7 linked regions of the Cricetulus griseus genome follow. The protein of the gene in region 6 interacts with the protein of the main gene of each other region in a biochemical or structural test. Links are inferred from orthologs where the notes say so. Each region holds a gene or a part of one and is shown on either strand. Other genes may lie near its edges. The genes, in order: Srebf1, Ywhaz, Nin, Muc1, Klf5, Gsk3b and Lrp6.

The links.
Region 1: the proteins of Gsk3b (region 6) and Srebf1 form a complex in vitro, tested with the Homo sapiens proteins (2 studies listed by BioGRID, with this or other methods). The link is inferred for Cricetulus griseus from reciprocal best matches to the Homo sapiens genes GSK3B and SREBF1.
Region 2: the proteins of Gsk3b (region 6) and Ywhaz form a complex in vitro, tested with the Homo sapiens proteins (2 studies listed by BioGRID). The link is inferred for Cricetulus griseus from reciprocal best matches to the Homo sapiens genes GSK3B and YWHAZ.
Region 3: of the proteins of Gsk3b (region 6) and Nin, one has a biochemical effect on the other in vitro, tested with the Homo sapiens proteins (2 studies listed by BioGRID and IntAct). The link is inferred for Cricetulus griseus from reciprocal best matches to the Homo sapiens genes GSK3B and NIN.
Region 4: the proteins of Gsk3b (region 6) and Muc1 form a complex in vitro, tested with the Homo sapiens proteins (2 studies listed by BioGRID). The link is inferred for Cricetulus griseus from reciprocal best matches to the Homo sapiens genes GSK3B and MUC1.
Region 5: of the proteins of Gsk3b (region 6) and Klf5, one has a biochemical effect on the other in vitro, tested with the Homo sapiens proteins (2 studies listed by BioGRID). The link is inferred for Cricetulus griseus from reciprocal best matches to the Homo sapiens genes GSK3B and KLF5.
Region 7: of the proteins of Gsk3b (region 6) and Lrp6, one has a biochemical effect on the other in vitro, tested with the Homo sapiens proteins (2 studies listed by BioGRID, with this or other methods). The link is inferred for Cricetulus griseus from reciprocal best matches to the Homo sapiens genes GSK3B and LRP6.

The regions. Positions count from the first base shown.
Region 1 is NC_048600.1:74,353,841-74,358,013, forward strand, and holds the start of Srebf1 (sterol regulatory element-binding protein 1), read right to left. Parts: upstream 2,801-4,173; 5' UTR 2,771-2,800; coding exon 2,680-2,770; intron 1-2,679.
Region 2 is NC_048603.1:14,723,766-14,727,707, reverse strand, and holds the start of Ywhaz (14-3-3 protein zeta/delta), read right to left. Parts: upstream 2,801-3,942; 5' UTR 2,661-2,800; intron 160-2,660; 5' UTR 149-159; coding exon 1-148.
Region 3 is NC_048598.1:133,256,439-133,260,709, forward strand, and holds the start of Nin (ninein), read left to right. Parts: upstream 1-1,471; 5' UTR 1,472-1,639; intron 1,640-2,022; exon of another isoform or gene 2,023-2,108; intron 2,109-2,130; exon of another isoform or gene 2,131-2,422; intron 2,423-4,271. UniProt on the Homo sapiens protein: Centrosomal protein required in the positioning and anchorage of the microtubule minus-end in epithelial cells. May also act as a centrosome maturation factor.
Region 4 is NW_023276806.1:65,326,002-65,330,194, reverse strand, and holds the start of Muc1 (mucin-1), read left to right. Parts: upstream 1-1,393; 5' UTR 1,394-2,655; coding exon 2,656-2,713; intron 2,714-3,324; coding exon 3,325-4,193. Other genes in the region: Thbs3 (thrombospondin-3), read left to right, coding at 8-66. UniProt on the Homo sapiens protein: The alpha subunit has cell adhesive properties. Can act both as an adhesion and an anti-adhesion protein. May provide a protective layer on epithelial cells against bacterial and enzyme attack.
Region 5 is NW_023276807.1:251,134,878-251,138,377, forward strand, and holds part of Klf5 (Krueppel-like factor 5), read left to right. Parts: coding exon 1-573; intron 574-1,784; coding exon 1,785-1,844; intron 1,845-3,500. UniProt on the Homo sapiens protein: Transcription factor that binds to GC box promoter elements. Activates the transcription of these genes.
Region 6 is NC_048597.1:51,920,621-51,924,120, forward strand, and holds part of Gsk3b (glycogen synthase kinase-3 beta), read right to left. Parts: intron 2,151-3,500; coding exon 2,044-2,150; intron 1-2,043. UniProt on the Homo sapiens protein: Constitutively active protein kinase that acts as a negative regulator in the hormonal control of glucose homeostasis, Wnt signaling and regulation of transcription factors and microtubules, by phosphorylating and inactivating glycogen synthase (GYS1 or GYS2), EIF2B, CTNNB1/beta-catenin, APC, AXIN1, DPYSL2/CRMP2, JUN, NFATC1/NFATC, MAPT/TAU and MACF1.
Region 7 is NC_048601.1:14,501,183-14,504,682, forward strand, and holds part of Lrp6 (low-density lipoprotein receptor-related protein 6), read left to right. Parts: intron 1-344; coding exon 345-481; intron 482-1,431; coding exon 1,432-1,529; intron 1,530-3,500. UniProt on the Homo sapiens protein: Component of the Wnt-Fzd-LRP5-LRP6 complex that triggers beta-catenin signaling through inducing aggregation of receptor-ligand complexes into ribosome-sized signalosomes.

The sequences.
Region 1 (4,173 bases), on a different chromosome or scaffold from region 6:
GCAGTGACACAGCTGTCTGGGAGTCTGCAGGATCCTGTGGTTGCTCACCCACACCAACTGTGGAGGTTTGAATAGGAATGGCCCCCACAGGCTCACAGATTTGAACAGCTGATCATCAAGGCATAGAACTACTTGAGAGGGATTAGGAGGTATTACCTTGTTGAAGTAGGTGTGGCCTTCTTAGAGGTATGTTGCTAGGGGTGGGCTTTTGGGTTTCAAAAGCTCAAGCCAGGCCCAGTGTCTCTTTTCTGGCCTTCGGATCTGGATAGAGAACTTTCAGCTACTTCTCCAGCACTATGTCTGTGTATATGCCACTATGCATTCCTGCCATGATGACAATGGACTAAACCTCTGAAACCAATGAAATGCTTCCTTTGTAAGAGTTGCTGTGGTCATGCAATATAATACTAAGACACCAATAAACTCACCGGTGCATGAAGCTGGACTTGGACGGAATCCTTTCTTTAGTCTGTCACAGTGCCCTATCAGATACATAGACACCTCTCCCTAAGGAGAGTCATACAATATTAGAACATAGACAGATCCAGTGTAAGGCCAGCACAAGAAAGGGGTCAGAACTCAGGAGGGCTTCTCAGTAAGTGGCATTGGACCTAGGCATACATCTTGGGCCAACAGACAGACCAGCTATTGAGGAGCTGTCTCTCCCAGGCCTTGGGCTCCCCAGGGCTCCAAGAGTAAGTAGCCAGTCTCAGACCAGAACTATGTCCATTTGCCTCCTCTGTCCTCAGTGCACAGTGCCACCAGCCTCCCAGTAGTCCCCATACAGGCTCCTCTCCCCAGCCTCTAGTGACCTGACACCAGGAACAAGGAGGAGCTGCTTTGAGGTCACAGCCAGCAGCAGGACTTGATGCTCTGAGCTCAGCATCACCCTCAGAAAGAAAGAAGGCTGTAAGTCCCACATCACTGGACATTTGTAGGACAACAGGTGGTAGTGGGCTGTTGGGCTCCAGGCATTGGCTGGCTCTCCCTGCCACTTTCCAGTCTTATGACCAATGCTGCTCTGGGCTGAGGGAGACAGCTGCATGGCTGACTTCTTAATCCAGCCTTGGGAGCCAAGGATCCAGGCTCTTGAGCCAGCAGCCTGAGTCTGAATTCTGGCTCTGCCTTGCTATGGCTGTGTGACCTTGGACAAGTCATTTAGCCTGCTTTTCAGTCTCTCATCTGTGAGATGAAAATGTTTTCCAACTGGGATTGTCAGAAGACCCACTGAGATCCTCATCATAGTGCCTGCCACACACCAAGTGCTCAAGAAGGGTTTGCCACCCATGTTATGATGGCCTACCCCAGTGCTGAAGAGGGGCTTTCTAAACAACGTCACTCTCCTTCTCCTGTCCCTTCTCCCACTGCCCTAGCCATATCTGGAACTCAGGCCTGCCCAGATGTTTTTCAACCCTCATTCCTCTTAGGTGACCCAACCTCTACCCCCAAGTCACCCCTCTCTAGCCCCAGCGACAAGCACACGTGGGTCTCTGAGTGATTCTCCCAGAGGCTTGCCTCTGGAGCTCAATGAGGATCTAGGCACAGCACACGCTAGGTGTCTATCAACAGATCATGGGATGGGGGTAAGGGAGAGAACACTCTACAGTAATCCCAGGGCACCATTGTAGTTTATAGATAACACACATTCGTGGTTGTCTGGGGTGGAGAAGAGTGTGAAGCCCTCAAACAGGCAAGAGAGATTCAATGTTTCGAGACTGCTGACAAGCCACCAGAGGTTATTGAATGGCCCGCCTAACATGTATACATCTTATGGTATGGAAAGTTTGGGGTTTTTTTTGTTGTTTGTTTGTTTGGTTTGTTTGGTTTTTTTTTTTTTTTTTTTTTGGAGGGGGGTTCGAGACAGGGTTTCTCTGTGTAGCTTTGGAGCCTATCCTGGCACTTTCTCTGGAGACCAGGCTAGCCTCGAACTCACAGAGATCCACCTGCCTCTGCCTCCTGAGTGCTGGGATTAAAGGCGAGCGCCACCAAATGCCAGTTTGTTTTTGTTTTCTTCCCCCACACCCACCCCAGCTGGTGGTGGTGGTTGAAGATGGAGATGAATCAAGCTGGGCAAGTTCAAGCGATGTTTTAAAAGATCTAAGTGGCCCAGGGTGTGGCTCAGGGCAGAAAGCCTGTTAATATGTTCTAGATCCTGGGTTACTGCCCCAGAATAGCAAAATTTGAAAAATATTTCGGAGAGCAGAAGCTGTGTTCCTTGTCTCACGCCCCCCACTCCCAACTCCTCAAACTTAGGTAGCGCCCCAGTGGCCTTTGCCTCTTACCTTGTCCTCCGCTAGAAAGTATCTTTGCTTGCTGATGCCGGGGCACCCCCCAGCACTAACACACCTAAGAGACCTCCCTGATCTCGATCCAAAGTAGCCAGATACTTGCATGCCCAGGTGCATGTAAAAATCCGTTTGTGGGCTTGCTTGGGGATTTTGGTGCATCCAAGAAACGAGAAAACCCAGGTCGGCCCGTGAACTGTCCACAGGGCCCAACCTGGAATTCAGCGGATGCTCAGCGAGTCCAGAAACCAAGCCCACCACAAGCTGGAGAGCTAACCCTCAATCCGAGGCGCACAACTGCGCAGTACGCACGCACGCGCAGAAGCTCCCGGCCAAGTGACCTCCCAGGACATGCGACCCCGCACAGGCCGCGCAGGAGCCCCGGGCCACGCACCTTGGATGTCGGTCAGCAGTGCGGCGTCCAGTTCGCCCAGCTCGTCCAGCGCCTGTTCCACAGCCGCCTCACCGAAAGGCAGCTCGTCCATGGCGGCGGCGCCCGCCAGGCTTCGCAGGAGGCCCGCCTTACCGAAAAGTTCCTCGGAAACTAGGTTCCGCAGGCGGAGCCACCCAAGCGGAGGGGCGGGGCTGCCCGCCAGGCCCTGCCCACCAACCGGCATCTGCAGGCTCCAGACAGCTCACCTAGACGGTTCAGAAAGCCGACTGGAGCCCGGTTTCCCGTAGCCTGTCTTAATCCATTATCAATCCCGCTGTTGGGGCAGAGAGGGCCAGTGGGCCTGAACAGCTCCTAAAGGAAGATTCTGGTCTCCTGGAAGACCTAGAAAAAGTGTGGATCCCAAGGTCAAGCAGCGACTCTGTAAAAGGAGCCCAGGGGAACTGAGCTCAGCTGCCTAGATCATGACCTAGACCCAGGCCAGGCCAGCAGCCTGAGTACTGAAAAGTGAACCCTGGGCCCTGTGACTTAGGGACAGGTAAAGCCGGTGGAAGGGGATAGGTTCCTCTAGGGTGGACTGAAGTAAACCTTTCTGGTCCACACTATTTGCAAGTGAGGAGACAGCAGCAACACGTAAGAATTAACCGGGTAGCCCGCCCCCGCCCCAGGGTCAGGACCCCAGGCCAGCTGGAACTGCCATGCTGAGACTCCAGGTACAGACTGGGCGACTGCTCTCACCTCCCAACCAGCAGAATTAGTTGTCTTTGGGCAAGGATGGAGTGTGTGTCTGGTTTCCACCTGAACACATTTTTGTCCCTCTCCCAGTGTGGCTGCTTAGAAAATTACTCAGAGTAAGGTGCTCAGGAGTGCTGGAACTATAAACCACCTCTCCCCGACATGGAGCCCTTGCTTTGGGGCCACTCTGCCTTGTCCCTCCCACCACCATCAGAAGACCCAGGAATTTGATGTTTCCTGAAAACTCAAACAGTCCTTCGCAGTCAGAAGGGTGAGGGTCTTCAGCGGTCAGTTGAGTTAATGCCTCACCTGCTTGTGTGTAGCCAGGGTCACTAATTGTCCAGAGTCTCTGCGGGAAAGGGCTCGGGGTTTGGAATCATCACAACATCACACCTTCTGAGAACTGAGTAAAATGTATACATAGCTCCACACACACACACATTCCGTTGCTGCAAGACTGGGGGAGCCGAAGGTAAAGTCAAAGAAAGACCTGTACCCACGACTAGAAAGCTCCCTTCGGAGCAAAGCCCAACACAAACCTCTGCTCCACAGGGTGGGCTTACAAGGGCAGCAGCCAAGGGGAAGCTTTCCTGGTAAAGGCTTGGAGAACTTCAGAGGAAGTTGGTGGTCTCTGTCTCAAACACCCGAGACCTCCCACCAAAGATCTCAGAACCCCTTGCTGGGGTCTTTGGTGCTTAGAACACAAGCGTGGTGTGGTGATCCTGGGCGGGGTGGGGTCTCAGCCTGGCCAACAAGGACCTG
Region 2 (3,942 bases), on a different chromosome or scaffold from region 6:
TTTTGTAAGCAACAGAGAGGAGATTCCTCTCCTCATTAGATAACTCAGCTCCTTGCTCGGTTACAGATTTCATGCAGGCTGCCATGTCATCGTAGCGCTCAGCCTGCTCGGCCAGTTTGGCCTTCTGCACCAGCTCATTTTTATCCATAACTGGATATTCTGCAAAGGGAAGAAAAGGGATATTCAGAAAATTCCTATTAGAATAGCTCCTTGTACCTGTAACAAGGTATACTAGTATCTTAAACCACGGCAAGTTAAAATACAGCCCCTCCCATCAACCAGAAAACGTACATACCGAGCATATTAACAGTGGCTTAGCAAATGGCAGACGCCCCCCCACCTGTTTAGGAGACCCCCAATTTCAGGTAAGATCAGAGCATATATGTGCTACTCTATCATCAAAAGCCACCTTCAAGCTGTGACACAGACCTGTCATCGCTCAGCCTGCTGTCCCTTGCTGTGTATTCCAACACACTTGTTTTCTTAAAAAGCTCAACTTAATCCCAATGCAGAGTGACCTACACTTCACCACCTTTCCCTACAGTGAGAGGGTAAGTGTGAGTGTGAGTGTGAGTGTGAGTGTGTGTGAGTGTGTGTGTGCGTGAGTGCGTTGGGGAGAACACTCCAGATCCGGACCTAGAAGGTCCATGAAGAGCACTCCACTCGCAGAACCGTGAGTCAGGCCAGCTAACCTTCAGTGTGTGCACTCTGACCCCGAGTGGATTACCTTTTACCTAGCACTTTCTCCAGCCCGATCTGCTACACTTCCTGGATGAAAACTATCTGAGGAAACTGACTGACTGATGCTTAGGATACCCTGAATATAAAACCACTAGGGATCACTCGCCCCGAGACCAGACAGACCCATCTACATGGAGTTACATGCACACTTTGCGCAGCAGGGAGCGAGCACTCAGGGCCAACCCAAGCGCAGGCGCCCCCTGCGATGTCACACTGCAGTTTAGGTGCAGACTCCCCCTGCATGGCTTTTCTCCAAGTCACCATTTATTAAGTCGGCCCTAACGTCTTCTCCGCCAATCTCCTTTGCAGTTCAAGTTCCCTAGATCCCAATTTATTTCTGATCAACTTTTTTTTTTTTTCTTTCCTTGAACGGGGTCAAGAGCACGGTTCTCAACCACAGGGATCCCAGGAAATGAATTTCCATGACAGTCACTGCCCAATGCACCGCCACCACCCAAGGCCACCATCGCACCCTTTCCTTTAACCTTTCCAGAAATCGCTTTTTTGGGGGGTGGGGAGGGGTGGTGTGGTGTGGGGAGGGAGGGGGCGTTAAATCAATGAGAAGCATCCTCAACTGAAACAAGCGCCGGGGCCTGGCTAGGCCGAGTTAACCCTTTGCGGTCTGGAAACCTCACACCAGAAACGGCCCTGGGAAGTGATGTCAGCGCGGCCCCGGCGGCCCCACCCCCGCCGACCTCAGCCGCCCGGTTCCCCGCGGGAAGCACACGAAGAACCAGCATCTACACTGCGGGAGCCCTCGCCGCACCCACTTAACCCTCGCCTGCCCGGGGCGGGCGGGCGGGCGAGCGGGGGCGAGCCGAAACCGCGCCCCAGACTTTTTAAAGCCAGCGCCAGTCCTCGCTCGCGTCCGCGCCGCCCGCAGCCACCTCCCCTTCTTGGCTCCGCCCAGGCTGGCGCCTCCGCCGGTCCCCGGCTCGCTCGCTCGCCCTCTCTCTCTCTTTGTCATGGCGGAACTGTGTCAAGGAGCCCAACCCAACCCGAGCACCGCCGAGCCGAGAGGGAGGAGCGGTCGGGTCGGGTGGGGTGGGGTGGTGGAGGTGGGGGGGAGGAGGCGGCGGCGAGCGGCTCGCCCTACCCGGAGGGGGCCCCCCGATGCCAGCCAGCGGCGCCCGCACGAGCGGAACCGACGGCGGCCGACCCGCACCGGACACACCCCGCTCTCTCCCTCCCGGGGTCCCCCCTCCCGCCCCCGACAGCTGCGGAGGAGGAGGAGGGGGATGGGAGGGGCCGGGCCCCACCCAGACCGGCGCAGCCCCCGCTCTCCCCGAAGGATGCTCACCTCCCACCCGGCCGGAGACCCCCCTGCGTCCCCGGGGCGCCCAGGCCGAGCCCCTCCCCCAACCACCCACCCACCCACCGAGTGTGCGAGCGTGCGAGCGAGTGAGCCACCGAGAGGGACCCAGGAAGCTCAGCCCCGGGTCCCCGGCGGGAGGGCAAGCGGGAGGGCGAGCCGGCCCCACCCCGGAGACTCGCTCTCTCTCGCGCGCGCGCTACCTGGCTGCCCGCGCGGCGGGGGAGGGGCGGCGGGGGCGCCACGGCGGGGTGGGGGCCGCCTCACCTGCGCCACGGCCCCGGTCCCAGCCGCGGCGGAAGCGGGTGCCGGCGGGGGCGGATGGCGCTCGCCCGCTCGCCCGAGCTTCAGCCCTACCCCCCCCAAACCCGGGAGGGTCTCGCGCGTGGGCGCCTCCTCCGCCACCCCCACCCCCGGGGACACGGGACACGGGCGGACGGGGCGACCAGCACCCCGGCAGGGCCAGCAGCAAGCGGCCCGGGGGCGGCCGTGGGCGCTCGCCCGGGGCTCGGCGGGACGAGCCGCCGCCCGGGTCCAGGATCCTTGGGGACGCCCGCCGCGGCGGGGCGGGCGAGCGGCGGAGGGGCCAGCCCGGGAGGCTGCTCACCTGTGTCCGGAGTGGGTGGCGGCACACGGACCCGGTCGGCAGTGTCCCTGGGCGGCGGCGGCGGCGAGGCTGAGACTCTGTCCCTGATCTGGCTGCTCACAGGCTACAGCGGCTCCGCAGACACGGGGTTTCCTCCAATCACTAGCCCCGGCAGCAGGGGCACCACACGCACAATGACGTCAAACGCTGCTATGGCAACCGTTGATTGGTGCCCGGCGCAACCGCCGCTCCCCCGGCGCGCGCCCGCCCCGCCCACCCGCTCGCTTGCCCGCCCGAGGCGAGCTCAGGGAGAGCGCGTCCCCGACCCTGCCTCCTCCTCCTCCTCCTCCCGCGCGCTCGGCTCGCCCCCGCCGCCCCCGCGAGCCGCCCTCCTTCCTCCTTCCCTCCTCCCTCCCGCGCCGCCCCTGCGGCCCGCGGAAGGAAGCCGCTCCCTCCCCCCTACACCTCTACTGGCGGGCACATCCGGGACCTTTCGCGTCTTCCCCCCCCCCCACCCGCCCCTCCCCCTCCCGGCCGCCCCGGTAATGACGGCGGGCTCTGCGGCCGGGGCATTGTGATCAGAGCCCCGGTTGCGGGGCGGCAGCGGGCGTGGCCGCTTGCTAGCTCGCCCGCTCGCCCACCGCTGCAGTAAAGCGGCCTTAGACCTTTTAAGGCTCGGGCGAGCCGCCCGCTGTCCCTCCTGTCGCCCCGCACAGACCGTGACAGCCAGGGAGACAATGGGGGGTCTCCGGGAGGAGAGGGGAAGGGCTTGTGCGAGCTGGGGGGACACAGGCTCACACAGCGAGCCGATCTCCGGGCGCTGCACTGTTGCCCCCCCCCCCCCACACACACACACAGCCGGGCTTTGACGGGGAGGCTCGTTGTCTCCACTTAACGCTCTCAAAGAGCCTTTTAGGTCCTGGGAGCCACCTTGGGGATACTGGCTGCTCGCTCTCGGGGCCCCCCATCTGACAGTGGGAGGGGGGCCGCTCGCCCGAGCAGGGGCGGGAGCGCCTGGGCCCGGAAGAGGGGGTAGGAAGAGGGCGGAAATTGCAGGTGCCTGCACCCGCAAGGTCTCCACCCAGCAGACGGAAGCGGAGGGAGAAGCATTCTCAGCGTGAAGCGTGTGCCCTTGCGTCCTTTAAACGTGCGTCCTGAGTTGAAGCAAACGCCTTTACCCAGCTCCTGCTGGCTGGAAAAAAGAAAAGGGGGGAAAAAGTATTCAGCCCATAGCTCTCCAGAAGATTCCACGACAAGCTGTTCTTCCCCCAACTCAGTGTCTGTCTGTCGGATACATGGTCTG
Region 3 (4,271 bases), on a different chromosome or scaffold from region 6:
GGGTTGATAAATGGTGTTGACTAACAGAATAGCTGTGTTTACAGTTTGTAAGTTTCTGTGTGCTAAAAGGGGGAAGGGAGCATAAAATGCCTCTTATTTCCCAGATGCTCTCTCTGTGTTGGAGAAAGTTTTGGATTTTTTTTTTTTTAGATAACTGGCTTTGTTATATGTATTTCCTAAATTTTGAGATAACTGTGGATTCATACAAGGAATCACAGAAAGAAAGCCTCAAAATGCTTCACTCAGTTTTTCTCAGAACTGTAGCACAATACAAGCAGAAAAAAAGAATTAGGCTTTAGTTAGCTGGGGCCCCCACTAAAATCTCACCAGTTTCACAGTTCTGGGTTGTGAGTATTAGGTTCTAGGCAGTTTTGCAGCATATGTGATGTTCTTCTGAATCCTAGGTCTGTGAAGGGCTTTCTGTGTGAAGCCCTGGGTTTCATGACTTCCAGTTGCCTGCTTTGGAAACGCTATGGTGTCTAGCCCCTTAAGGACTTCCAGTCTTCTGGCTTTTAAAATGCTGTGGTGTCTGCTTCCTCGGGGTGCTTGTCATGAGGAACAGGTCACATCTGTTTCCAGAAGCCTGAACTTGCCAGTTTCCTTTCTGTCACCTAGAATTTGTCTAATGTTCTTTCGGAAATAACTTGTGGGTATAATAATGCAGGCAGATCTTTCTTCTCGAGGGCCATTCTTGGATCCCAGGGAGGCATTGCCTCCTGCCTATAGCTCGCTCCACCTCTAGCCTGGGTTTGTGGTCCTGTTCGACTAATTGTGTTAGGAAGTATAGCGATGGGAGGAGAAACCCCCCGAGGTAAGGTAGCACTTTTGAGGGTGCATGTGGAACAGGTGTGGGAGAAAGCTGCAGCCGCGGCGGGAACCCGCACAGTAACCTCAGTGGACTAAGGACCACCAACTCCAAGGACTTTCTGTTCTGCTACTATGACAAAGGATTGACTGCACCCTCAGAAGGCTATACAAGGGCCAGAGCAACTGTAAGGATGAAGGGCAGCTACAGATTATCTAGAAGTGGTCGGAGGTCCAGAGGGTTCAGTGCTCTCCAGGGCCCTTTGCTCTTTGGTACCCTTTCCCAGGACCTTCAAACGACTCTCTAGGGCTGGGAAATCCAGGGTCCCCTGCAGGTTACAGAGGTACCCCAACTTCCACTTTAGGTCTATCAGGCTGGGGGCTTCACTCTCCAGAGACGTTGTGGGCCTTGTGCCAAATCACCAGGTGCTAGCGGATGCCTTTGAGAGGACAAGGAGGCTGCAGGCAAGGGACCGCGTGGTGGCAGTGCCAGCTGGTGCGCCGAGGCGACCTTGGGGTGCCGAACCCGCACGCAGAGCCAGGGCGTTCCCAAGTTCAAATCTCTTAGGCGGGGGCTCGCACCCGCGGGCTCACAGCCGCCACCCGCTCCTCCCTCGGCTGCGGCGAGAGGAGGAGCCGCGCCCTGGCCGGCGTCCCCTTGACTCCTCCCTACGAGGCCCGGCTCTTCCTCCCCCGCGGCCCGATCTCCGGGTGGCGGCGACTGAGCCGGGAGCGAGCGCGCTGGGCGCGGCAGTCCGGTATCGCCCGGCGGAGCCCGAGAGCCCCGAGGTCATGGTCTGTGCTGTGGAGCGGGGCGCCTGAGCCCCGGGACGCGGTGAGCGACAAGCTGGGGATCCCCGGGGGTCGAGCGACCTGGGAGAGCGCGAGGCCTTGGCTGACCACGCGCCGTCTGCTTAGGGACCCCGAGCGTCCCACGCCGTGCAGACCCGCAGATCCCGGTCCAGCACGCGGTGGCGGCTCGGGAGGGGCGCTGTCGCCCGCGGGTGGCGGCGGGGGAGGGGGAGGGGCCGCGGCGACGGCGAGGGCGGGGGGATGAGCCGGCGTGCTTTTGTGAGCGCCGGCCCCTTACATATGGAAATGACGCCCGTGCGGGTCCCCAGTCGCGTCCTCTGGAAGGACGCGTGCCCGGATCGGCGGCGCGGGCTGCTCGGTGTCGCGGCGCTCGCGGGGCCCTAACAAAGCGCCCTTTCCTTGCAGAGCTCCGGAGGCGGCTGGCGCGGGCGCTCCCCAGAGGCCGACGGAAGGTAGGCGAGGCCGGCGGGGCCGGACCACCGATCTGGCGTGTGAGCTCGGCGACCCGCGGGTGGGCAGGTGGAGCGGGGACGCGGTGCGGGTTGCTAGGGACCTGGGCTGGCCCGCCCTCCCGCCACACCTCCGCCTCCCAGACCTGAGGCTTCCCGAGCTGAAAGCTGTTACTGTGTCTCGCTCCAGCGGCGGGCAGGACTCGGAGCGAGCAGAAAGGGTTCTTGTTCTGTGGGTCGAGGCCACCCAGGCAGCCCAGAGATCCAGAAGCCGGCGCGGGGAGCCCCTGGGTGTCGGCCTCCGCCTCCCGCGAGCGCAGAGCCGTTTGGAGTCCTAAAAGTGGAGATTTTAGGAGGTGCGTGGGATCCGTGCAGGTAGAGAGAGACTTTTGGGTGCAGCTAGCAGCGAAAGGAAAGGCGACAATGCATTTTGACAGTTGCTCTGAAAACTCGGTCGCCAGAGCAGAGGAGTGTGAAATGAAGTGAGGAGTGGGTGTAGGTGGGGAAGGAGTAGTCGAGACTGGAGTCGGCACTGCAGTTCCATCCCCACTTCCTCCGAAAAAGACAACTTTTGGAAACCAGCCTCCCCTAAAAGCTCTCTGTGAAATTGAGAGACTGGAAGGGTGATGTTCGCAGCCTCAGCCGGGACAGACCCGCGAAGGTGCAATTGAAGGGGAGCTGGAATAGTGCCCTGTCACAGATCGGGTTTCCATACAACTATTATGAGACGGTCTCATCGTCCCTCACCTGGGACAGACCCTCTCCGGGCGTTGAGAAGTCTTGAGAAGGCTTTCCATGCAGCTCGACCAGAACCGATTGTGTGGTTGTCTATGGGGCTGCCACGGGAGCTTTTAGGGTGCTCATCTCAATCTCTTCATAGCACTCGAAGGCTCCTGAGACCACGAACTGTTCTCAGTTGAGTTCTCTCAGATACATCATGTTGGCATGCATTTATCTATTTGCATGCTTCTCGAGGCCTAATAAGCCACAAGGAAATACTTTGATGGCATCAGTGTAGCTTATTCTAGGGTCTTCTCCAGTGGTAGCATGGGCTTTTACAAGCTAGCCTGGAATATTAGTATTTCTTGCTGTGGAACTGAAAGTAGCTATGAAATACCCAGACTGTTTGCCTGTAACATGCCAGGCGGGCTGAGAGAGGAGTTTGTGTGGTTTCTTCATCTGTGGTTGGTGTTCATAGGGAGGAGATGAGAACCTCTGGGGACAGGGGTATTGGCAACCTGTTTATTTTCACGGCTCTCTGGTGCCTTAGAGGGAAGCACTCTGAGCTGCAGTGTTGAGAAAGCAAAAGGATTGTCATAAGCAAAGGCATTGCCAACACGGATACTGGGGCAAAGAAGAAGAGCCTCGCTGCATGTGGTCCTCGTGTTGAAATGTCACGGTTCAGTCATTTTAATAGGTGCCTGCTCAGAATGTCACAAGTTCTGTTTTCTTATCCCTTTTTCATTTTAGATATGTGACGGTCCTTCCTATCAAAGGATGTTCGCTCATAGGGCCGGAATAGGGAGCCACTGAATTCTGAGCACCCAGTCTTTTTAATAGGCAGTTCTTATCATGAGTCAAATGTTGTTCAAATAAATTGTTTTAAATGTCACTGTAAATGACTTTCTAAACTACCATTTCACCAATCTTGATGCTTCCATTTTATGTTGATAATGAAAATACATTTTATGAGTCTTACATTGATAGAGGCTTGGCAGGTATAACCAGAACATTTTAGAGGGAGTCAGACAGCTAGAGCCATTCAAAAGGCTTACTTTTATAGATGGCGACTCATTTGTAAGCCAATAAATAATGCAGTTTGAATTCTGGCTATTGATCTTGCATCTGTTGGCCAGAGGCTTGTGGGGTGGTTCAGTGAACCTTGCCAAATGACATATTTATCTGATTACATTTACAAAGAAGATACTTTAAAACATTATGGAATTATGCAAATGCTTGCTTCTTTAGGGCCATTTGTGTAAGCAGTAATAGCATGTATAGATGTGATAACAGAACTTCTCCACTGTGCCCTAGGGAGCTTATAGCTTCACCTATCCTAAATGAATTTATGTAAATATGGTTCAAGAAATGAAAGTTGTTTCAGGCTTTCTTTTTTTGTTTTTTGTTTTTTTTTTTTAAGAAAAAAAAGTAAGAAACACAAAACTTTTTTTCTTCTTTGATTTTTTTTTTTTGTTGTTCCTGTTG
Region 4 (4,193 bases), on a different chromosome or scaffold from region 6:
TCTTCAGACACAGTGCCTGAGGACTTTGAGCCATTCCGGAGGCAACTGCTCCAGGGAAGGGTGTGAGGTGCCGCCACCAGATTCAGAACCCTGACTGGAGACCTTTGACCTTGGACTCTGTTCTGGAGACCTTGGGGTCTAATCTACAGCTCCTCAGCCTAACTGATGGTTCTCTGGCACCCATCAGGGAGCGCAGCTCCAGAGGGGTGGTGACCCCATTGTGCAGGGGTTGGGGGACCTTCAAGGGGTATATTACTCAGGTACGAACCCCAGGAAAGACATCATCAGCACATTGCCATAAAGTTTCAGCTATTTTCTAAGTCAGTGCAATCACTTATTTTAGGCCTTTTCTAGGACAATAAGGAGCCCGAGGGGTTAGAAAGGCTGGTAGCGCAGGTTAGAGAGCCAGGGAAAGTTTGACTGAGTTGGGGTGTGGGTGGGAAAAGTACCAAATGAAGGATGAGGTTGGAAGATGGGCTAAAGTCCTTCCAGCCCCACTTACTCACCGTGGCGGCGGCGACCCTTCTAAGCTCCGCAGTGATCGAAAGCCCAGGGCTGGGGCTCCCCCGCTCTGGGTGAGGGGGCGCCGGGGGGGCCGAGGGGGCCGGAGGCCGGGACGAGTGCAATATTGGCGGGGGAAAGAACAACACTGCACCGCGTCCCGTCCCTCCCGCCCGCCCGGGGCCCCGGAATCCCGCTCCCTACCACCTGGGCCTTTGGAACCCAGGGACTGGGGGCGCTCTGGAGAGTTGGGGTCACTTTAGAGTTACACCAGAGCCTGGGTGCCCGAAGGGTGAAAGGGGGGGCGAAAGGGTGAAGAGAGAAGGGGAACCCCCCCCCCCATGCCCTGGAAGGCCACTTTGCAACGTCGAAGCAGTGCGCGCGCTTGCTCTTTAAATACTCAGACTGAGAGGCGCGGAGCTATTGTCATGGTGACTGGTATCCCAGCAACCAAATTGACTGGCTGTTGCCTGGCAATCCCAGGAGTTGGGGTTTGGGGCCCGCCTACCTAAATTCTTGTGGGCGCGCTGACGTAGGGCGTCCTCACTCCGCCCAGGGCCGGCCTCACAAAATCGCTCAGAGGCGCGATACACGGCGGGAGCGTGGGTCCCACGCCCCCATTTACGCACCTCCGAAAAGTTTCTAAAGTATCAGCTTCTGTTTTGTACTCGTTGGGACTAAGAATTGTTGGCCTACTACAGTTGTAACTGCAAACCTACGCCTGCAGGATCTGGCCTGGTACTCTGAGTCCACATGCTGCTGTGAGCCCAAAGCCCTCCCCGTCCCCAACTGTCCCTGCCCTTCAGAATACCTCTCGGTTCTCCCTAAATGCACGCGCACACACACACACACACACACACACACACACACACACACACACACACACACACACACACACGGGTTTGCCCTGCACCGCGTGGCGTGCCTGTCTGCTCCAAATATCGTTCCTCTCCCTAACACAGCTCTGAGCTCCCAAATTTCATGGTCGCCCCTTCTATTCTCTGCCTCCTAAATACCTAGCTGCCTGAACATAACCTGTCCCACTCCCCCTCCCACAATCCGAAGTCCTTATCGCTAAACTTGTTGCCCCCACCACATACCTTAGGTGCCCCCCTCCCCGCACACTTAGCCTCTCCCCCGCCCCCCAGACATCTGAGTAACCCAAGCACTGATCCTTGCTCCTCCACCGCACTGTGCATTCCTTCCTACCTATTCTAGGCGTTGACTCTTTTCGTCAAGGCCCAACCAACTTCCCTAAGATCTCGGTCTCAACTTGGGGTGTGCTGTCAAAACTCCCCACAGGGTCTCAACTCCTCGGCCACTCGGCCCGTGCGGGTTGGCCGCGCGATGCTCCCGGTGACCACTAGAGGGCAGGCGTTCCCGGCCAGAAGGACCGGCCAGCCTGCCACTCAAGGTGGAGAGTTGGGTAGGAACGACCTTAGGCTTCGGTAGAGCCCCAGTTTCGTCCTTTTTAAGTGGAAATTTCCCCCCACCGCCTTTCTCAGGAGCAAGCCAAACAGGGACCCAGGCTACTGGAAAGCCTGGCAGGGGCGGAGACTGTGGTTTTCAGAGTACAGGGAGCGGTTAGAAGGGTGGAGCTATTCCGGGAAGTGATGGGGGGAGGGAGCCTGAAACTAGCGACTTGTCCATTATTATCCAGCCCCCTTGTGTCCTCTCAACTTATGGAAAGCCGTTTTTAAGGATCCGCAGAGAGAATAGGAAACGGGATTGGGGAACCTAGGGATGGGTTTCCCTGGGCTAGTTGTCCAGGGCCTTTCTGTGCTCCGTTTCCCCATCTTGACCATTGCTCTGGGGCTAAAACCAGAGCCAGGGGGCCCCAGGTCTCCTCCACAAACACACCTGGGGAAGTCAAGGAGAGCTTGGTAAAAGGGGGGAAGCCAACTGGAGAATAAACAAGTAGTCATAAGATTGAGTGATTGGAGCCCAAGTACCCTACACAGGAATGGTTGGGGAGGAGGAGGAAAAGATAGGGGAGGGGGCGGAGTTTTGTCACCTGTCACCTGCTCTGGCTGTGCCTAGGGCGGGAGGGGTACTGGTATAAAGCAGCGGGCACCAGAGCTGCTCCACCGCACACACGCCACAGCTCCTGCCTTGAGTCTGTTTCTGCCCTCTTCCCGCCTCTTCACCACCACCATGACCCCAGGCATCCGGGCTCCTTTCTTCCTGACGCTCCTTCTAGTGCTTGTAACAGGTGAGAGGCATGAGGTTGGGGTGGAGGTGCGTTGTTCAGGTGGGACTCCTCACCGTTCTTTTGCTTGCTGTTAGATGGCATAAAGGATAGACAAAGATGACCCAGTTATGTGCCAGAATGAAAGAGGCTAAGGACACAGGCTGAGAAGATGTGACCCCCAAGAGAGTAGGCACCGTAGGAGGCAAATGCTCTGATGTTTGTGGAGGTGGGTTGTGTCAGGAGAGACAATGGTAGTGGGAGAATGGGGCCATGTGCCGCGGTTAGGTTAGGGCCAGCTTGCAGTATGAATCCTTGTCTCAAAAATAAGTAGTGGAGGAATGAATTAGCCAGAAGCAGGGTTGAGTCTTTTAGGGAGGGAGAGATTAGCCAGGGAGGTTGTCAGCAAGGAAGAAGGCAAACAGGGACTGCCTGACGCCAACCTTATACCCCTTCTGGGGTTACTTTGGTTTTGGAGTTTATATTTTTCTCCTTCCTCTGATTTTATTCACCAACCCAGTAGTTTTTACAATTTCTAAATCATGCAGGTTATCCAAAGCAACCTAGTATCCATCTCTGTTGAGAGGTGTGTGAGCATAAAAATGGTCTACTCCCCACCTTCAACTCTGGTTCAGGCTTTCTTGCCCTTCCAGATCAAAACAGTGTCGTCTTATCTCTGGACACCAACAGTTCCCCAACCTTGAATACCACTCCAGTCCACAGTGGTTCTTCAGCCCCAGCCACCAGCTCTGTAGTGGACTCGGCCACCACTCCAGTCCACAGTGGTTCTTCAGCCCCAGCCACCAGCTCTGCAGTGGACTCAGCCACCACTCCAGTCCACAGTGGTTCCTCTGCCCCAGCCACCAGCCCTGCAGTGGACTCGGCCACCACTCCAGTCCACAGTGGTTCCTCTGCCCCAACCACCAGCTCTGCAGTGGACTCAACCACCACTCCAGTCCACAATAGTTCTTCAGCCCCAGCCACCAGCCCTGCAGTGGACTCAACCACCACTCCAGTCCACAGTGGTTCCTCTGCCCCAGCCACCAGCTCTGCAGTGGACTCAACCACCACTCCAGTCCACAATAGTTCTTCAGCCCCAACCACCAGCCCTGCAGTAGACTCAACCACCGCTCCAGTCCACAATAGTTCTTCAGCCCCAGCCACCAGCCCTGCAGTGGACTCAACCACCACTCCAGTCCACAATAGTTCTTCAGCCCCAGCCACCAGCTCTGCAGTGGACTCGGCCACCACTCCAGTCCACAATGGCTCCTTGGTCCCAACTACCAGCTCTGCGCTGGAATCAGCTACCAGTTCAGCCCACAGTGGTGCCTCTTCTATGACTAATAGTTCTGAACCAGACTTGGAGACCACTCCAGTTTACAGTGGCACCTCTATCTCTACTACCAAGGCTACTTTAGCCTCTGCCATCACCCCAGTCTACAATGGCTCCTTGGTGCCAACTACCAGCTCTGTGTTGGGCTCAGCCACCACTCCGATCAGTAAT
Region 5 (3,500 bases), on a different chromosome or scaffold from region 6:
AGTTCAACAGTATATTCAGCTCCCATCAGAACACAGCTCCAGAGGTGAACAATATCTTCATCAAACAAGAACTTCCTACGCCAGATCTTCATCTCTCTGTCCCTTCCCAGCAGGGCCACCTGTACCAGCTATTGAATACACCGGATCTAGACATGCCTAGTTCTACAAACCAGACAGCAATAATGGACACCCTTAACATATCCATGTCTGCCGCCATGGCGGGCCTTAACACACACACCTCTGCTGTTCCGCAGACTGCAATGAAACAGTTCCAGGGCATGCCCCCTTGCACATACACCATGCCAAGTCAGTTTCTTCCACAGCAGGCCACTTACTTTCCCCCATCGCCACCGAGCTCAGAGCCTGGAAGTCCCGATAGACAAGCTGAGATGCTCCAGAATTTAACTCCACCTCCATCGTATGCTGCTACAATTGCTTCTAAACTGGCAATTAGCAATCCGAATTTACCTGCCACTCTGCCAGTTAGTTCACCAAGCATCCAACCTGTCAGATACAATAGAAGGAGTAACCCCGATCTGGAGAAACGGCGCATCCACTACTGCGATTACCCTGGTATGTATGTGGTCTGTGTGCTTGAAGAGTCAGTAGTGTTTTACGTTGCGTGTGCGCACTGTTTTCAACCTTAGGCATGAAAATATATAGCAAGGGTGTATTTGACAGTAAGAAGTAAATCACCTAGTTTCTCTTAGTAGTCTGTTTCTGCATTTTGTCCAGGTGTGTAATTAGATACTAGTCCAGTGCTTGTTTTATGTATTGAAAAAATTGGCCAGTCAGACATGATGGCTCATGCCTTTAATCCCAGCAGTGAGGCTGAGGCAGGAAGATTACACTTTAAATCTAGCCTGGGCTACGTAGCGTGATCCTGCCTCTTAAATAACAATTTCCAAACACATTTTTAAAGGCTAGGCCATTCTAGAGACTTAGTTAACTTAAGATTTCTCAATCTTTAGTAGTAAATAAAACTTGAATTTCACATTTGGGAGGCAGAGGAGGTCGGATCTATGTAAGTTCGAGGACAGGCTCCGAACCTCCACAGAGAAACCTTGTCTTGAATAAAGCACAGCAAAAAGTTGTAAAGTCTCCTGGAGATTAAATAGGGTTGGAGACAGTCATGTGGTGATGAAGTTCAGGGGTAGGTACCTCTTGGAAACTAGAAGGCTGTTTACAGGACAGATTTAAACCAAAAAACGGTTCCTTTAGTGTGCGCTCATTCTTGAATGAGATACGTGACCCAAAATATAATTTGACAGTAATAAATATATGTTCAAGTTGCTGGCGTAAGCGAGTTTATGTTTAATATAGGGCATAATTTATTGACTATGGTGCATGATGTGGCGTGCTAAAAGAAAAAAACAAAGTAGGGGTATAGAAAATTATAGTCATCTTGGGTAATGACTTAGCTCTGTCATCTCTACATCCAGTAAGTTAAAAAATATATGTATTAGCTATCAAGTCACTGAAGCACATGTTAGAGTAAAAAAAGTACCTACTGGAATAGAATTACAAATTTTCCATTTGTTGCTTGACTGGATTACCCATATTCTTTGCTCTCAACGTGATACATAGGTGGGATCACCTGCACCTTCTAATAAGGTCGAGGGGAGAGGGCACCTTGAAACTGCTTAGCCAAATCTTCCAATATTGCATCTAGCACAAGAGATTTCGTCTTTAAAGCCAGATTTAAAACACCGGATCATCAAATGTAAAGATTTCAAAAGGCCCTGGAAATGACAAGCTGTTCTTCCTCTGCTCCTTTCTTTTAGGTTGCACAAAAGTTTATACAAAGTCGTCTCATTTAAAAGCTCACCTGAGGACTCATACAGGTAGGTAATTTTCTTGTTAATTCTGTGAGTTGTGTAAATAGTATAAGTGGCATTCATCCTTTTAAAAGCCAGCACATGTTTGATCTCTTCTTTCTTCTGTCAACTTTTATTTTTTAATGGCCTACCTTTTCAGCAAGGGCTTGCCTCGAAACTGGGTTCCCCCAAGAAAGCTTGTTTCCAGGAGAGAGTCCCCTCGGTGAGACCTTGCCCTGTCACCTCACAGAGAATTAATGACCCCCCAAACGTAAACAGCAGTGTTTACTAATGGATTTTAAAACTTAAATGACAATGCTTATTCCTGTCTTGAAAGAAGGGGAAAAAAATTCTTGGTAAATCATTTTGCTTTAATAAAGCCCTTTTAACCTAAAAACTTCCACTTACCATGCTAAGCGCTAGTGCTTAACACTGGTGGCTTCAAATATTTGTGTTTAGCATAGTTGCTGTGTCTGAAAAGTAGACCTAAAATCTGCAGGGTGGTCAGAATGAAGGGCAATAGTTTAGACATCACTCCACACCCAACCTCAGCCCTTGATAGGTTTGAGTCCCCATCTTTAGTCCGTTTCCCTTGCATCCTCACTTGAAGCCTACGTTTAAGTTTTATCTCTAATTTTATAATGATTGATTTGTTTTGTTAGATTCACAGCAATCCTTTGTAGGATCTATTAATTTTGAAACCTACCAAAACCACATTTCACATGAAATTTGGTAGCATGCTTTATTAAAGGGCTTCACATACCCATATTTTCAAGTGTCTGGATAATGTTACTAGTGTAATTTCCTTTCAAAATTTTTAAAAAAAGAAGCCCTGAAGGAAAAACAGATAAAAGTGACTGCATTTTTTCCTCAAATACACCTTCCTTACCTAAAGTTCAAAGAATAAGTTTGCTAATAAAAGCAGTGACCTAGCAAAATGTATTATTCCATCATTGCTATGGAAACCAAAGTATTCAGCAGTTCCTTTGAATGGGTTGTTGGATTAGTGTGAGGACTTGAATCTCCCCAGGCTAGATGTTACTATGGAAATTGAGTTTTGATAAATGAAGTAGTTATCTCTAACTGCTGCATTAAAAAGTAAAAGCCTTTGAACAAAGGTCGTCGACGAACCAGAGCCCTGAAAGAGAGTGGTTGCAGACATTTTGTATGTGTGTTAGGAAGTAGTGCTTGATATTCAAACGCTAAACACTTAGTAAAATCCAAATGGTACCGGCAACAATGCGGCAGATTCCAGGGCTTTCCCAGAAAGGGCTATCTCTTGCATTCTGTGATAGAATGGATTGTTTGGGCCTGAGGCTTTTTTTTTTTTTTTTGCAGGCAATCACAAACAGAATAGTCCAGCCTATAATAAAGTCCAATCTTAAATTTCCAAAATACAGTCAATACGTACAGAAGTACTAAAAATAAAAAAAATTAATAAATAAAAAAATACTGAAATAGCCATTTTCCGTACTAGTGTTTGGGGAACACTGAACTTGGGTTTTGGAACATTTAAGCTATTGCTTTTTTTCCCTCCCCCCCCTCCTCTCTCCCTTCTGTATCCTTTCCCCTCATCAGAAGTCCTTGAAACCAGAGATAGGAAGGAGGGAATGCATTTTCCAGGTTAAAGTCCCATAATAAAAGAAGTGTGCAATTGCATATAACGATGTAATCAACTGCTTA
Region 6 (3,500 bases):
AAATTTGTATTTTATTTTGATTACATAGTATTGGTTATATCCAAATATGGCAATAATTTAGTCAGAATCAGTGATGGTTTCATTCCAAGTAATGTTAATTAAAAAAAAATCTATTCATATGTTTGAACCCTTTTTATTTTTTAACAAATAAGTATTTTTATAAGTATTCACCTTTTACAAATCTATTTTGTGTATGTGTGTGTGGGGGAAAGAATTGCAGAGAAAGAGAGAGAGAGACAGACAGACTCATTATGTAGCCCTAGGTTGGTTAGAATTCACAAGAGATCTGTCCACCTCTTCCTGTGTGCGGGACTGTATCAATCTTACACAGCCTTAGGAAGCAAGGTCAGGGCTGGAGAGATGGCTCATCCATTAAGAGCACTTGCTACTCTTGCAGAGAACCTAGTCAGGGCTGGAGAGATGGCTCATCCATTAAGAGCACTTGCTACTCTTGCAGAGAACCTAGTTAGATTCCCAACATCCACATGATGGCTCACAGCCATCCATAACTCCAGTTCTCAGAGATTCAACATCCTCTTTTGACCTCCACAGGCACTGAGTATTCAAGTGGTATGCATACATAAATGCAGGCATATGTGTTTATATATGTGGTATACATGCAGGCAAAACACTTATACACATAAATTTTTAAAAATTTAAGAAGCAAGAATCTTAGATCTGAAAATGGATCAAATCCATGTTTGTTAGGGTCCCAAAAGCCCTGGCTCACACAAACATTCTATAATGTGTCAGGAATTTGGTTGTAACTATTTTAGGTGAGCCTAGTATAATTCAGTCCAGTATCTTATACATACATACATACATACATACATACGCACGCACGCACGCACGCACGCACGCACGCACACACACACACACACACAGAGAGAGAGAGAGAGAGAGAGAGAGAGAGCATAGATAACCAATATCAAACATTTGACTAAGACACTAATCATTAGATATCCGATAACATTCCCAAGGACAAAGAGTTAAAATTTGCTCTTGGGGACCACTGAGCTAATAAATATACTAAGAAAGTCTGTTACCTTCCATTCTTATACTGGCTCATTAACATTTTATTTTACTCCTCCAGCAACCATGAAAAGCAGGCAGAATTAGAAATGATCTTCATTTCACAGCTCAGATAGAGGACACCTGATGTCAGCCTCAGCTCCCCACCCTCACACAATTAATGTATGAAATAAAATAATTTTGTCCTTTTTCATCTAGCCTATCAATGCTGGTTTTGTCTTGCCATTCAGATTCAGCGAGTCATGGTCTTTGTGCTGACACAGCAACTGTACTAGAACAACACAAAGGCAATGAGGATTTCAACTGTCTTGAATCCTTCTATCATTAGACATCTCCCTCCACTGAAATTTTTAAACCAGCAAGTTTAGCTGAACAACTAATGAATTAAGTTAACCTAAAGTGATGTATTATGGTAGGAATTCAAAAATATTATTGCCCTATCAATTACAGTATTAACATTTTAAAAGTAACATTATTAATTAACCAATATTCTAACTAGGTATCAGGCTCAGAAGTAAATATTTCAGGAGAACTAGAAAACTAATACAGGACCCACAGATAGCTCAGTAGATAAAAATTCTTGCAGTGCAAGCCTGATGACCTGAGTTTGATCCAGAGAACCTATATAAGGGTAAAAGGAGGGAACAGACCCCAAAAATTGTCCTCTGACGGCTACATGCAAGCTGCATATAGCATATTTCTTCCTGTCATTGATCCCTGCCTCATTAATATTTTTAAAACACTTACCTGAAGAGTTACAGTATTTACACTTTACTTCAAACTTTAAGATCAAACAAATACATTAGCTAACTATAATGCAAATACTTTTAAAATTCTAATGCTAAAAAAGCATAATGGAAAGATATACATAAAATTCTAAAAGGTTAAAAAAATTTAGTTGTATACATTTCTGCAAAAATATATTGCAGCCATGCCCTTTTCATGTCAGAGAAACTGTAAGAATCAGGGTGCAATTAACAGTTATAAACTGTATTCAGAGTCAGTACTTACCTATGCTAGAGGTATAATCAGTGGCTCCAAAGATCAACTCTGGTGCCCTATAGTACCGAGAACAGATATAGGAAACATTGGGTTCTCCTCGGACCAGCTGCTTTGCACTAATGAAAAAAATAAAAATAAAAAAAAGCAATCTTTAAATCCATACCTTAAAGAAACAAATACTCATATTCACACACCATATTTGTCTCAACCTCACAAGACTGCAATAATGCAACACACTTGCAACTGTTTTCAATGAAAGAAATACACAATTTCATCAAATTGATATAAGAAACAGTGATTTTTAAAGTAAGCATTTGTCAAGTGTTACCTAAGGAACAAAGAGATTAAAAGTTCAAAAGGATACACATGTTCAGTTTCTTCTGGTTCCATGTTTCCTAAATTCTACTTCTGAAATGTAAAAATGGTTGCAAGGCATGGCGATGCAACACCTTTAATCCCAACCCTCAGGAGACAGAGATAGTTGAGTCTCTGTGAGATGGAGGCCAACCCAGTTTGCAGTGAGACTTATAAGGTCAGCCAGGGCTACACAGGAAGACCCTGTCCCAAAAAATAGTAAATAATTAAATATATAAAGATAAGGGGCAAGAAATTTAAAAGGAGCCTTCCCCAGCAAAAGAATGACAGTGGATCAGAATAAATGAATATATCAATACTCCTCACCAACACACTTTTTTAAAAAGGGTAATAACTGCCGACTGTTTTATATTTGACTTCTGACTCAGGATGGCCAGCTCAAGGCTTACACAACCAACCTATGCATGATTTGATATTTTAGTCAGTTTGCTATCTAACCACCTGTTTCTAAACAAACTGCAAAAAGGCATTCAACTTGAGGGGGAAAGTGACTCAGAACCTATCCATTCCATCCCTGCTATGCTGTTTACATATTATTGCAGCTTTGCTCCTGAAGTATTTTACAGTATATACACTTAAAACATTAAAGTGAATTACAGTTAGCATCTCTCAAATGTCTCTCAGATAACTCATTTCAAATCAGCAAGCCACACTGGGAGATGCACTGACAGCAGCGTCACAGACACAGGAGATAAATACAGGCAACAAAATCACAACAGAAAACATCTGAGGTAAGGAAGGGCACAGGAAGGCAAAGACACAGCCAGGGGAAAATGACCTTTCAACCTTAAAGTCTAGGCTTCCTTCCCCTCAATTTACTTTTAGTCAATGATGATGCTAAACTTAACTTGTTTTCCCTTCATTAGCAGTTTCACAATTTAACCTTCTAGGGCCCACATTAATGGTTATTAAACAACCATAATATTTTCAGGCTATCAGAAAATCAAGACACTTAGCTTTCAGTATAACTAATAATGGACTTTTCTATCTTCAGAAGTGCATTTTGGGGGCTTGGGATATAGCTCCTTGATAAAGCAGCTGCCTAGGATGTGACATTTAAAGTTCAGCTCCCAGACAAACAAACAAACAGC
Region 7 (3,500 bases), on a different chromosome or scaffold from region 6:
AGGCTTTGCTTTCTTTGGAGCTCATCTGTCAGTTTCATCTACCCTGGTTCCCAGTCTTTGTCCTCAGTCCTTTTTTTAAGAAGTCTTCCGTGAATACCTCTCACTCTGAAGGGCTCTGTTTCCTTGGACCAGGCCAAGTGGGAGCAGCTTGACTTATTAGAAGCCAGTTCTCAATGGAACCATTCCTTTCAACATTCATTAATTTTTTTCATTAACTCTTTACAGCTATTACTAGGGAAAGAGGACGTAAGCTGTTCTAGTTGGGCTGCTTGTAACTTCAATGTTGATTCATGATTTTATATATTTTTATAGATGCTACTCATCTTCATTTTTATCTCCTTCAGGAATGTCTCGAGGGAAATCAATGATCAGTTCCCTCAGTATCATGGGGGGAAGCAGTGGGCCACCCTACGATCGAGCACATGTCACAGGAGCATCATCAAGCAGTTCTTCAAGCACCAAAGGCACTTACTTCCCTGCAGTAAGCAGCCTGTCTTTGCTATGTTTTTCTTTCACTGTTAAAATACGTAGCATGTTCGATCAGTTCATTTAAACGTGGGTGCTCAGTGATGGTAATGTAAAAATAGTTGTTAATATAAGATTGAAGTACATAGGAGTCAGTGGGGAATATACCACCACTGCACTGTACTTGTAAAGCTTTAAGTTTACTCTGTAATAATCAATGTAGCTGAAAGCATAATAATAATTTCACAATTCAAATAAAAAAATAAACCACTAAGGTACCAAACAAACTTAGGACCTTTATTTTGTAAGCTGCTAAAAGAAGAAGCATGTGGCTGGGGAGATGGTTCACTCTGTAAAATGCTTGTCTCGTGGGTGAGAGGACCTGAGTTCCATCCCAGCACCAAGATAAAAAGCTGGGCCTGGCTCATAATCCCAACACTGCAGAAGTACAGAGAGGAGGATCTCTGGAGTGCATTGGCCCACCAGTTTAGACTGGTTCCTGAGTTCCAGGCTAATGAGAGCCTTCTTAAAGGAGGTGGACAGTGTTCCTGAGGCTGCCATTATGGTTTCCTTTGGCCTGCAGCTTCATGTGTGCATACATAATCTTGTACTTAAACATATAAAAATAAAATGTAAGAGGAAGCACATTAGAATTCCTCTTAATAATTTTCTACAAACATAGAAAAGTTGTGTTTAAAAAATTAGAGACTGTCTGTGCCAAACAAGCCAGTGATGTAGGTGACAGTCTTTTTGTTTTGTTTTTCTTACCACTTGTTCAGGATAAAGAACTTGTGGTTAGGAAAGTGGAGCCAGTCTTAAAGTGCTATTTAGGTAGTTGTTTTGAAAAGAATCCTACGCTAAAAGTGCAATGGAAAAGAATAGACAGGTGAGGAAATAGAAGGTAAAGGTGATCTGCGTCTATGGGAAGGTATTGTTAGTTTAATGTTTTAATTGTTTTCCTTTTAGATTTTGAATCCACCACCGTCGCCTGCCACAGAGCGTTCTCATTATACCATGGAATTTGGTTATTCTTCCAACAGTCCTTCCACACACAGGTCCTACAGGTAAGACACTGTCGCGTGGGATCGAGATCCACTAGACTCAGTGCAGGTGAAGTGAAGTCTATTCAGGGAGAATGCACTTACACAAGACGCTGGTGACCAGCGCAAGTTCCAGTTCCAAGGATCCTCCCAGGCTGCCCTCTGTGACCCAACTGGAAGCAAGAGAGAGCACTGGGGTCCAGGACCCCAGACCTAGTCCTACCCTCCATCAAGCCCACACCTGTGACCACGCCTGTTTGGGTGTGGTCAGTGCTACAGGCGTGGGTGGGGTGGATATCTCACTGACATACTTTTTTTCCATATTCCATTTGTGAATATCCTAAGCCTCAAATGAACAGCCCATAATCACCAAACAAAGAGTAGGATTCTTGTCTTGGCAAGACTTGATTGACATTGTCCACCCCCAAATCTTTTCTTTTTCATTTTATATTTTAAAAGAGAGTTACATAGCTGACTTTTGGTTTTTCAAGACAGGGTTTCTCTGTGTAGCTTTGGAGCCTATCCTGGCACTCACTCTGGAGACCAGGCTGACCTCGAACTCACAGAGATCCACCTGCCTCTGCCTCCCCAGTGCTGGGATTAAAGGCGTGTGCCACTACTGCCCGGCCACACAGCTGACTTTTAGAGTAATGCAGTTGAGGACTGGGCGAGACAGGTCAGAGTTGTAAGAGCTTGCAGGCAACAGGAGAGTGGGTCATAGACTCTGAAAAACTCAGAAGGAGGTTGACCCACATTACATGTGTCACTGTGACCTGGAATGAAAGATTTTCCATGTAGTTAGTTGCATGGAATAAACAAGTCGTCATACGGGGCATGATGCCTCCGTGCTCATTGTGAGTGTGTTGGGTAGGTCTGTTATTGTGTGTGTACCTTACTCTTCCATCCTGTTCAGACACCAGCAGAAAGTCTGTATTCTGTCTGAAACCTGCATGCTGTGACTGTGGTCCCCAGTGCCTGTTACCATTTGGATAACATTTCCTTTCCGTCACTCTGGCCTGGCGTCACTTTGTAGTGATGGAAATAAAATGGAAACTACCTACCAAAGTCAGTTAAGACAGAGATAGGGTTGTCTCCAACATGATTGTTTCCATGAGTCATTGTAAGACTTCTTTGCATGCCACTGTTTTATTCTAAAATGACAAAAAAAAAAAAAAAAAAAAAAAAAAAAAGCCGAGGCCTGAAAATTGAAAAACAAGACCAGAACCAAAAATTTCATTTAAAAAATGTACTTAGTTCACCTTGAAGAAAACATCAGGCAAAGTATACAGCTGCTTTAAATCGTTTCCCATGTCTAAAGGAGGCTACAAATCTATGTCAAACTTTATCAATTGTCATGATTTTACCTAAGCTGAGATTTCACAGAATTTTGTTGATTGGCTTCCTTTTTTCCTTCTTTTTCTTTATGAGATTAGAAGTTTTTAGCCTTTTAAATTTTAACCTAGAATATTTCCCCAGGCTTTGTCATCTATTTGGACAGAAAGATGAAACAAAAAGCAAAAGTGCTATGGTAATGTCTTGTCTTTTACTGTCTTTTACCAACACTGATGGTAAAAGTTCCAGGAACCTGTTCAGTGGGGCCTGTGGGGCAAAGCTGAGTGATAGCAGGCGTGGGTGCTGTGTCACTAGGAAATTTATGAATTCCCCATCAGTTATTCTCATCTTGCCCCCTGTCTTGCAGTCACTGTACTTTCAGAGACAGTTTATTTGTGGATCTTTAGGATGAGTATAAAATAAGCTTGGTCATACATAGAAAAAAACTTGTAGAAATCATACATAGACAAGCCAGTATTTTAGGTCAGCTCTTACCTTCATGAGTAACTATAGATTATTTAAAGGGTACATAAACAAGTATAAACATGTATTAAACTCTTACACTGTGTTAGAAAGTTCACTGGCCCTCTGGGCATTTTAACTGTACTTAGCACAGTATATCTGACCATGCAGAAATCAGAACTACTATCAGACAAATTATGA